Linked DNA regions of Drosophila melanogaster. The protein of the gene in region 1 interacts with the protein of each later gene in a pairwise test. Each region holds a gene or a part of one and is shown on either strand. Other genes may lie near its edges. The genes, in order: Taf12, CG5662 and Alg13.

Region 1 (3,759 bases):
CCTTTATAGAAGAAGTGAGCAAGTTTGACGGTGTGGATGAGTACTTGCACAAAATGGTAAGTCACTTTACTTTATTCCTTGTAACTAACTTAACAAAATCATATTTTGCAGCCAGAGATCTTGGATACGTATGTCGACAGAATACTTGAAGATGCCAAAATAAATGAACAAGCGTTTAATGTGCTCAATCATGGTGATGCCTGGATAAATAACATCATGTTCCAATACGAATCAGATGGTCGCGTCAAGGAAACCCTCCTGTTGGATCACCAAGTCACGAAGTATGGAAATCCTGCCCAGGATCTGTATTACTTCATAATGAGCTCCACTCAACTGGACATCAAAGTCGATCAGTTTGACTACCTTATCCGATGGTATCATCAAAACATGAAGGAGCACGCCAAGCTGTTGAACTACAACGGATTTATTCCCTCGCTAAAGGAACTGCACGCCATTCTGATACAGCACCCCATTTTTGGTAATTTACAGAAGGATTTGAGGTTTTTAAATTCCTCTGACTGACATGTTTTTCTTCAAGCTGCTGGAACTGTGCTCACTACCTTGTCGATGTGTCTTAACAAGACAACCGATGACTTTACCACTGATAGCTTTTTGGGAAATGAAGAGAATGGCAAATCCCTGAGGGAGGCAATGTTTAGCAACGAACGTTATAGGGCCAATATAGAGCGTGTCATGCCATGGATAAATAGACGAGGACTGCTTGATAATTTTGCCAACGGACATTCCCAATAAATACTTTACTTCAGACAAATTTCAGGTTATTTACTATTTAACAAACGACTAAATAAATGTGTGATCACAATTCTAACTTGCTCAAGAGAGCTTACATTTGTATTTCCTACTTTTCTTACTTGAGAGCAAATTTCACGGCCACTACAATACTTGAAACAAAGATTAGTGCGAGGGCCAGCTTCCTAAGATTGGCACGATTCACACCTTTGATGGTCCGTACTACTTCTATATTTAAGCGAAATACGTTGCGACTTTCCTCAATAAAAGCAGCACGCAAATCATCGTCAAAAGCTCCGTAGTGATTGTTGAAAACGCGCCTTAGTTTGGCCTTTAAGACAGAGATCTGAAAGTGGATATAAAGACAATAGATATAAGGAACAAAGTAAAAAGCTACGCACCTTCTCAGGAAAATATGTGGCCTCACATCCCGGCGGGCAAATGGTAACCTGGGCAGGCATTGGCCTGGCCTCCAAGTCGTCTTTGTCTACAGAGCCATCGGCAGCTCTGGCGGTGGCCAACTCTGCCTCCTTGTCGGCCTGCTTCTGCTGCTCCTCGTCATCGTTCTTTGAAAAGATCCACATTTTACGAGCGATCATACGCTTCTTCTGCAACATTTGTCCGCCGGACATCAAAGCCATGTACATCTGATAGGAGTAGGCGAACAGCAAGAGTTCGTTCTGTGCGGCAATCTTTTCCAGATGCTCGAGATATTTCTGGACCGCCGGGCGAATTTCGTAGTCCTTCCTCCAATCGGAACCGTAGAAATAGGCAAAATCCCTTTCAAATGCCGCTGTTCTGTGGAATTCTTTGGGCAGCAGGCGCTCCGGCAGATGGGTCTCAAAGAATTTGTACAGTTCGTAGAAGGCCAGGAGTCCATCATACCAGACCTCGTCATCAGAAAGGGCTATGGAAGAAGAGGAATATCTAATAACTTCTAATAATATCGTGTAATTAACGAACCAAGTGCGATCTTTGCATTCACTAGAACATCAGTAAGATTATGCACATCTTTTGTGGCTTTACGCAACTCCTTTGTGAACGCCATGTCTACGAATTCCACATCCTCCACATTCTCGGAGACCTGACTGTCCGCTATTGTTTCTTCGCTCGCTGACATGTTTCTTTTGCGCAGCTATTGTTCCCAATTACAAAGTAAAATATATTCCTTATCTACGTGATATTTGCAAAATACGCCGTCTTTGTTTTGTTTTGAACTCCACGCCAGTGTGGCTGTCTAACTAAAATATACTGAAATTAAACGTAAATATACCAAATTGCTTTATAGCACCAGCGGGCATTTCAGAGTCGCCTGCAACTGGCCATACTGTTGATTTGGCTGTAGTTGCTCCGCTTATTTTTATTTTGTTTAGTAATTTAGGAAAGTAATAGTTTAAGATCAAAGTGTTAAAACCGCAATAATTGTAAGTGTTGCATGCGCTAAGAGCAACTGCTAAGTAACACTTTAGTTTTAGTAAACACACAAAGCGACGGATTCTTAAGACCGCACGCGTGAAATTGACCACTCTATTCTTTTACTTACATTTCGCTTTGCAACCAAACACCCACGCACACACAATCACCGACTGCAGTTGAGAAAGCAGGAGGACACACAACATAAGCAGCAACAACAACAAGTACACTAACGCTTTTGGCTTTGGTTCTGCACTCTTACCCACTCCCCAAAAATCCGCCCAACTTACTGTACTTTCCCCAAACACTTCCAACCAACCGACCTACCACCCACTTGATTTGACTCTGAAGAAACCCAAAAGCAATGTCGGATCTCTTTACCACTTTCGATAGCAACGGCGTCGCCGAGCACCACCTGCACCACAACCACAACTCCACATCGTCCGCCAGCGGACTGCTCCACGACCCACCCATGGCCTCGCCCTCCCAGCACAGTCCGATGACCAACAACAGCAACTCATCCTCGCAGAACGGCGGACCGGTTTCCGGTTTGGGTACGGGAACGGGCCCCATATCTGGTGGTAGCAAGTCATCCAATCACACATCATCCGCCGCCGGTTCCGAGAACACTCCCGTAAGATGCGTGCCTTATGGAGTGCACACGGAATACGCCAGGGTCTAGTTTAACTCTCTTCCGAATTACAGATGCTTACCAAACCGCGTCTCACAGAGCTCGTCCGAGAGGTGGATACCACCACGCAGCTGGACGAGGATGTTGAGGAGCTTCTGCTTCAGATCATCGACGACTTTGTCGAGGACACCGTCAAGTCGACGAGCGCCTTCGCCAAGCACCGAAAGTCTAACAAGATCGAGGTGCGCGACGTGCAGCTGCACTTTGAGCGGAAGTACAACATGTGGATACCCGGCTTCGGTACGGACGAACTGCGTCCCTACAAGCGGGCAGCTGTCACGGAGGCGCACAAACAGCGCCTTGCCCTCATACGGAAAACGATCAAGAAATACTAGAGGATTGGATCTAATCGGGTCGAGGCTCTGTTTCGGTTTGCCGGATTTCGCGTATGCTAAACGTGCACACGCCACAAACTAATTTAAGCTCCAATTTAGATTAAATAACAAATTATCGTCGCTCTATTGTAGATTTATTGTAATAAAAGTGCACTATTGATTTCACATTCAACAATTGGTCACCGTCAGCAGTAAATTTTAAGTCGTGATTTTTTAATCACAGTTTCTAATGGTTCTGTAATATTTGTATTAATTGTTTGTCTGGTGGATATTGATTTATATTTTTCATAATTTAACAATTTCTTCAGTTTATTTTAAAAATATTTGTGTAATATTTCCCTTTGAAAATAATTAGCGGACTCTGCTGAACGCACCCAATTAATTGCTGTATTTTTTAACAACGTGGTATTTTTTTAATGACCGAACGGTATTTTCCATCTCTCGCATCAAGGTCATACCATCAATAATGTTGATTTTCTGATTGTTGATTTAAAATTAAAAAAGCTTTCAATTGGCCAAAACAAATTTGTTCGCCATGAAGCTGCCGGTGATTTGTCGCACGTGCGACTC
Region 2 (3,503 bases), on another chromosome or scaffold:
CGGACCTAGTCGATGTCGATGATGGTTCCCTGATTGTCCGAACGATGCGGCCATGTCACACGGGTTAGCCGGAGTACTGAAGTCCCGCAGACCCGTAAACTCTTCTCCCAGGGAACTCTGCATTGAGATTGGTGACTTTGGGCCAGTCATAAAATCGAACCTACAAGTCGAGGGCGAACTTAAATTGAATGCCAGCCCGCGCCGAAAATACTGCCTAGTACACTCGAAATATAAAAGAGGCCAATTTTTTCGCAATAAAAAAATTAGATTTTTATGACTCGCCAGTAATGACTCCACATTTAGAAACTATAATTGCAAATTTGTAAGTGTAAACTTCATTATTACCGGGATTATTCTAAAATGAATATCTAATTTAAAAATTGCAACAATCATTTATTTTGGATTTACTTGCTTTCTATTTGTTTGATTTCTTTACTTTATTTTTTCAGTGTTAAATGCCTTGTCTGTTGCTGTATTTTATGGCATTGTGCGCTGGCTTAACTCTGGTTCAAGTTTCCCCGTGCCACACCCCATGCAAAACCCACTCTTCCTCCGACTTGTCTGCCGTTTTTATTGTAAATGCTTTGCATATTTTTGATTGCCTTCCCGACCCTGGCCAAATAAAAAAACAATAAGAATCCTTTGTTCCGGGGCAGAGGGATTCCGAGTCCTGCCCTTTCCTTTATTCTATTTTTTCCAACTCCATCTCGTCCTCCTGCTCCTCCACCGCGCTGGTCAGGAGTTTGCCATCAAACAGGCTCTGATCGATGCGGCGACAGTGGGCCAATAGACGTGGATATGTGGCCAGAACCGCGGCCAGTTCCATGTTGGGAAGCTTGGTGGTCATTATGGCTACCACATGGCCAAAGACCAGGGCGTCCAATTTGCAAGGTCGTGAGCCGCCGAAATAGCTCTTCGCCTGGTCCTCCTCCAGTTCAGCGATCAACGCATCGGCACAGATGCTCACCTCCTGGATTACCTGGTCGTTGTCCAAATCCTGCCACCGGTAGACCTTCAGTATCTTCTGTGCGTCCTTCTGCTTGGCAAACCGGCGAATCGTACTCAACGGCCACGGATGAGCGGCTGCACAGCGCGTTGCCGTGTAAAGTTGATAGTTTACCTCATCCACAAAACTCATATGAATCTCCGCCAGGGTGAAGACATTCTCCACATAGCTAACCAGACAGCGGATGTTATCGCGCTGATCCTCGGACATCCAACTGTCCAGGCAATTGCCGCCTTGCACGGCCTCCACTTGGGCCACTATTGGCTCGAATTCCGCAAAAGTCTTGACAGGGCCCAAACGGAGCAGCGGCAGGTGGGTCAACCGGCCACCTGGTGACATAAACTCTGCATTGTCGCTGATGTGCTCCGTAAATGGTAGGTTGCACATGCGCAAAAACGTCTTCACCGCCAGGCAGCTGGAGCGCTCCGGCAACAGGAGCTGATTCGCCTCGGCCGGCTGATGCAGGTGGGCGTCCGCCGGCCACGCCTCCTCCGACTTGCCCTCCTCCGCCGACGACTGCATCAGGGCGGCGGTCAAGTTTTGTTCCAACTCCATGCTTAAAGTGCCGAAAATTTTGACTGTGGGTTTCTTTTTATGGAATTGTTGAAGTGACAATTGTGGCAGTGATGGCTATATTAATATTTTCATATATTGTGAGAAAGAATTTTTGTTTACGTTTCATCAGTCAACTTTTGAGTACATTACTGCTAGAATTCGGAATATTATAAATGGGTTGCAAATAAATGTTAAATAAAAAATAAAGAATCTTAAAAGCAAATTCTTCCACAATTCAAATAAAATAAAAGTAATGCATTGTAAACTTACATATATGACTTTATAAATTTCAATAATAAACGCTGTAATTCCCACCTAATTAATATGACAGGAGCCAACAATTATTGACGAAACTTACCTAATTTTCGTGTCTGATTTATTTCATAATTTTATATTTCCAGAAATTTCCCTTGAACTTGTTTACTTTCAGTTATGTCTATCCATTGATTGTTTTTTGTTCATGCGTACAAGCAGTTGTTAAGTGAAAGCAAATATATGGCATTTAAGCATTTAATTAGTCTGCAATGAAAGGCATTGAAACTTGAAATGTGCAATTAGCAACGAATAAATGTGAAAGCAAATAAACTATACTCGCAATTAGGCAAATAACTTGAAATCAAACTGACAGAGAGCAATATTCCTACATTGGACTTAAAGAGCTGTCTGCCTTCGTTTCATCGTTGACAGGATTCACTTTTCCACAGAAAAATCAGTTGTGTGCTTTGATGATGGAAATGTTTTGTGAATTTTCTGCTCGACTGGACATTCAAGCAATTAATCATCGGCCACCGCCCTTCCACATTCCATTGGCACCCCCACCAAAAAGGTTTCGGCCCACTCGCCGCCAAATTTTTTTTCTACTACCGCCCGCTGGTTTTTGGCCGACAGCCTCGCGGGAACTGGAACTGAGGATGATAAATTGCTCGGGCGGAGCATTATGCACAGTTTTGTGGCTCCTCTGATCCAGGACTCGAGTGCTTCCGGAAATGAGGCAAAAGTTTTGGGCGCTCTCTATTCGAACGTTTCATGGATCATCAGGTACGAGAAGCTGGCGGGCTCTCCATGATTGCTAATTGAATGGCCTTGATGATACAATACATCGCTACACGGAAAGAAACTCGAAATACTGCACCAAATCGAAAGTTCTAATTTAACAAAGAAACACTTTAATGAAATATCGAAATAATAATTAAAATAATTAATAATAATTAAGCCCGTTTACCATTTGTTTTGTATTGAAATGTTTATTTTAAAACATTTTATTATACTTCTAGGCAATGCTATTTGAAATAACCAATCTGACTTGCGTTGACAGCTGTGAAAATTGCGAGCTTCGATTGACGGATTATCCCATTTTGGGCGGACGCCTTGGACCTGATTAGTATGCCCGCGAAGTTCGAAAGCCGAGACTAATTTAACGCCAAGTAACGAATTTTGGATGAGAGTTTTTGATTTACCAGCCACGTTACTGGGAAATGAAAGAGTAAATATACGAGGGCCGTGGCGTTGTCGTTGATTGATTCGGTCGAGGGCTACTGGGAATTCCGTCCAATCCATTGACAACCAAGTCGCAAAACACTGCCAAATTAATTAAGCCACACAGAGTAGGCACTTCGGAACCGAACCAGTGATATCTAGCCATTGTGGGTTAAGGATTCACGATGCTCGGTATGCTCGGGATGGCAAGGATGTTGGCCTGGTTGAGACATCGTTTCGGCAACAAAAGCCAACAAAAGGCAACAATTCTTACCCACTAATAAAGAATAATATGACTGCCATAAAACTCAATTTATTACCAAAATGTCGACAAGCAGCAGACTTTTGTGCGTATATGTGCCACTGTGTCTTATTCGCTTTCTCCTTTCTTATTTTGTGTGTGTGTGTGTGCGAGAGTTACGACCTACGGAGAAAGGAGGTGAAAGCAGAACGAATGACGTACGGA
Region 3 (3,263 bases), about 17 Mb from region 1:
TCTGGTACTCATGGAGGGCTTGTCTGCCTTCCTGCACACCCTGCGTCTCCATTGGTAAGTCACCTAATCCTCGAGAAGTATGAAATGGTATCTAATTGAACGGCTTTCTCATAGGGTCGAGTTCCAGAGCAAGTTCTACAAGGGCCAGGGTTACGCCTTCCAACCCTTCTCGTTTGATGCCATCATAGAAAACGGAGCTGCCGCCGCCGAGGAGTAAATAAAGCGGAATATCGGTCAGAGCAACAACCAAAGCACGTTGAGAGTCTCATTGCGTTATATGAAATTAACTATCCAAATAAGTGGAATCTACCAGTTACAGTAACAAACATATATGTACGTTTTAATGTTTAATTGTCGTGAATTTATCTATGTATGTATATCGTATAGCCCCAGCAAACGTTAGATTGCTAACAATATTTAATGTTCTTCGTAGACGTTCTCCTGTTTATTAACTATACTTGTAAACTCAAATAAATAGAAAAGGCTAACCCCTTGGGGTTGGCACCAAAAGAAGCTTGCATTTGGGAATGCTTATTGGGAGTCAATGGGACATCAGCTGATTGATGGCGGAAACGAATTTGCTAAGATTTTCCGGTTTCGTTTCATAGGGCTTTAAGGCTTCAAAGTCCAGAGTAGCTAGCTGGGCATCCACGTCGGTAACTTTGCAGTAATACAGATAGTTTTCAGCGGCCAGTTGCTTGGCCAACTCCAGTTGATGATTGTCCATGAGCGTGTCATTTATCACAATGAGTCCAGGTTTCTGGTTATTTAGTATATCCATGCAAGTTCCGGCTCCCGCATGTCCAATAATTAGGTCTGCGGACTTGATGTCCTCCGTATTTGGCCGGAAATTGTACTGCTCTATCTGGATTCCGTAGTTTTTTCTTATCAATTGTATTTCATCGTCTGTTAATGGTTGCGAATTTCCGTGCTGTATGACGAGTTTGGTGCATTTCCGGTTCTGTAGAGCTTTGAGTGCGGGTTCCGTGGATGCAGTTGATATTAGAGCATCGAATTTGGTGGTACCAACGGTAATGTAAACAGTGTTCAAATGCATTTTCTGTAAATAGTTAAACAACAAGACACAGCTGTTACGAGTTGTGCTTCCTCTTCGCCTTTGCCATTCAGCCGGCGTAACTCATACGACGTTCAAATAAATGGCAGCCTGGAAGCTCGAAACACCGGCCATAACCGTTACTTTATCTACTAGGAGTGCAGTAAATAAGTAAAAAGAGTAGTGAAATAGTTTTAAGCAATACTTGTTTAAGCAAAATGCTTAAATTCAATTTTAAACGTAAGTATTCCGCTTTCACAGCGCTCAGTTTATTTTGCTCTCACGCAGCCAAAGTGCGAATTTGGCGCACGCGATCGCCATCTCGCTCATTGTGCTTCCATTCCATTTCCATCGCAGCTTGTTTATTCCGCTTATTCAGTTCTCAACCGTTAGCCGTTACGGTTGTGCCCGCGCTCGTCGGGAAAATACGCGAAAGAACTGTGCTCCGTTTAGTGATAGTCCCTTGGCAAATTGCATTTTGATTAGTTTGGCAGCTCGGCCTTAGTACAAGTGATTTGTTTACATTTAATTCAATTAATTAGGCGTCTGCCAGGCTGCCAACAGTGTGTGCGCGCTTGTGTTGGTGACCGACCACAAATCAGTGTCGCGCCAGCGTAACGGTAAAGGTGCGAAAGAGTCCGACAAACGGTTTTCCAGGACGGAGGTGAAACGGTAAATTAAATTATTCCCACGTTTCGAATGCTGCGTATGTGTGTGTGTGGGCGATTTGTGCGTGTGTGTGCACTGAGAAAAATGCACTGGCATGGCGATCATTTTGCACCACCATTAAACTAAAAATATAAGTACATTAAACGATTTGAGCACATTTCTTTTTGTGCAGTGAAAACGCTTCAAGTACTTAATTATCCTAGGTGCACAAGTAATACAACAATTTTAATATCCATTTGCCATGTGCGTTTCGCTTTGATATTTCTTTCTCTGCTTGCCGGCTGCGGTTTGCACGTCGGAAGGTAATTGACTAATCAACACTTCGTTTAATTTCGTTTTTATATCTGCACCCTCCCCATTTGTTTATTTGGCAAACGCTTTTCAAGTTTGCCTGCCATCTGGCAGCGATTAAAATAAAAAAAAAACAAACACTTTTCTAGCCTCAAATGCTCGATATTACGAGAACAAGACGCTCACGCAGGACCCATAAATTAGCCAGCCAGAAACTTTCCTTTCCTTATGATCGCCAATTTATGGTGATCTCCCGCTTATTTACTAGTCAAATTTGCAGAAATCATCTGGTACTGCCCCAAAATTCAATTAGAGCACCCGTGCAAATTATCGAGTTGCCCAGCGATCGGTTATTCTATTTTTCCAACACCCCAGGCCCTCGGTTCCACCCTCCAGAATACACACCCACACACTTACACACGCGTGGACCATCACTCAACGGTCAATAAATTGGCGCTCTCTTTTTTTCTTGTTTTTGGTTTTGTTTTTGTTTTTGTTTTTGTTTTGATAGCGAGTAAAAGGCCGCGCGATTTAAATTTAATGTCTTAATTGTGGGCGTGTGAAGAACCAATATTTACTTGTCTCCGCTGTCTCTTGATTCCCTTTTGCTTCCCATATCACCCCCCCCCCCACAACTTTCCCAATGATTTGTCAATATTCGCTTTCCCACTCGCAGGCGTTCATGTCCTTGTGTTTATTAACTGTCTGCACTGTGAGAAAACCGTACATTCTAGTCCTATAAAATTGGTTCCACTGATCAAAATGAAAAGGTTCACTTTAAGCAAAGTTACATATGTCCGATCTAATTAGTTAGGAATTTTGAAGATTTCCAGCAAATAATGCGTGAATCGAAGTGTACTAGCCTTATCCATCGCCATATGCTGACACATCGCCAGCGGCTTACACGCAGTTTATCAATGAAATATTGCTATAAATTGGATCCCCAACGAGCGCGAGCGACCCAGGGATACGGACCCCATGGAGGCGGGATGGGATGGGCGGAGTGGGCTGAGGCGGATGGAGGCGGCGTATCATTTGCAGCCTTATTTTAATGAAGGTCATCGAGCCAGCGACGGGGTTGACTTCTGTACATGGTTGTCGGCGTTTAATTGCAGCAATTTGCAAAAACAGCAGCAGCAGTAGCATCATCAGCCGAAGGAGAAAGAGCAGGGAGCTGCAGATGCTGCAAATGCTACAGAAGCTGATCAAATTAATGCCATAACTCAATTAGCCGGCGGGCGTATTTGCA

What was found.
Region 2: the proteins of Taf12 (region 1) and CG5662 interact in a two-hybrid assay, tested with the Drosophila melanogaster proteins (one large-scale study listed by BioGRID).
Region 3: the proteins of Taf12 (region 1) and Alg13 interact in a two-hybrid assay, tested with the Drosophila melanogaster proteins (one large-scale study listed by BioGRID).

What each region holds. Positions count from the first base shown.
Region 1 is NT_033777.3:11,677,982-11,681,740, reverse strand, and holds Taf12 (TBP-associated factor 12), read left to right. Parts: upstream 1-2,050; 5' UTR 2,051-2,174; exon of another isoform or gene 2,175-2,342; 5' UTR 2,343-2,527; coding exon 2,528-2,797; intron 2,798-2,868; coding exon 2,869-3,189; 3' UTR 3,190-3,355; downstream 3,356-3,759. Other genes in the region: CG6830 (uncharacterized protein), read left to right, coding at 1-56, 112-478, 539-753; Ho (heme oxygenase), read right to left, coding at 869-1,096, 1,152-1,657, 1,714-1,870; CG18476 (uncharacterized protein), read left to right, coding at 3,725-3,759. UniProt on the Drosophila melanogaster protein: TFIID is a multimeric protein complex that plays a central role in mediating promoter responses to various activators and repressors.
Region 2 is NC_004354.4:15,208,514-15,212,016, reverse strand, and holds CG5662 (uncharacterized protein), read right to left. Parts: upstream 1,632-3,503; 5' UTR 1,562-1,631; coding exon 683-1,561; 3' UTR 550-682; downstream 1-549.
Region 3 is NT_033777.3:29,137,470-29,140,732, forward strand, and holds Alg13 (Alg13 UDP-N-acetylglucosaminyltransferase subunit), read right to left. Parts: upstream 1,105-3,263; 5' UTR 1,058-1,104; coding exon 542-1,057; 3' UTR 501-541; downstream 1-500. Other genes in the region: Vha100-1 (vacuolar H[+] ATPase 100kD subunit 1), read left to right, coding at 1-54, 115-217; superdeath (suppressor of ER stress-induced death), read left to right, coding at 1,273-1,294.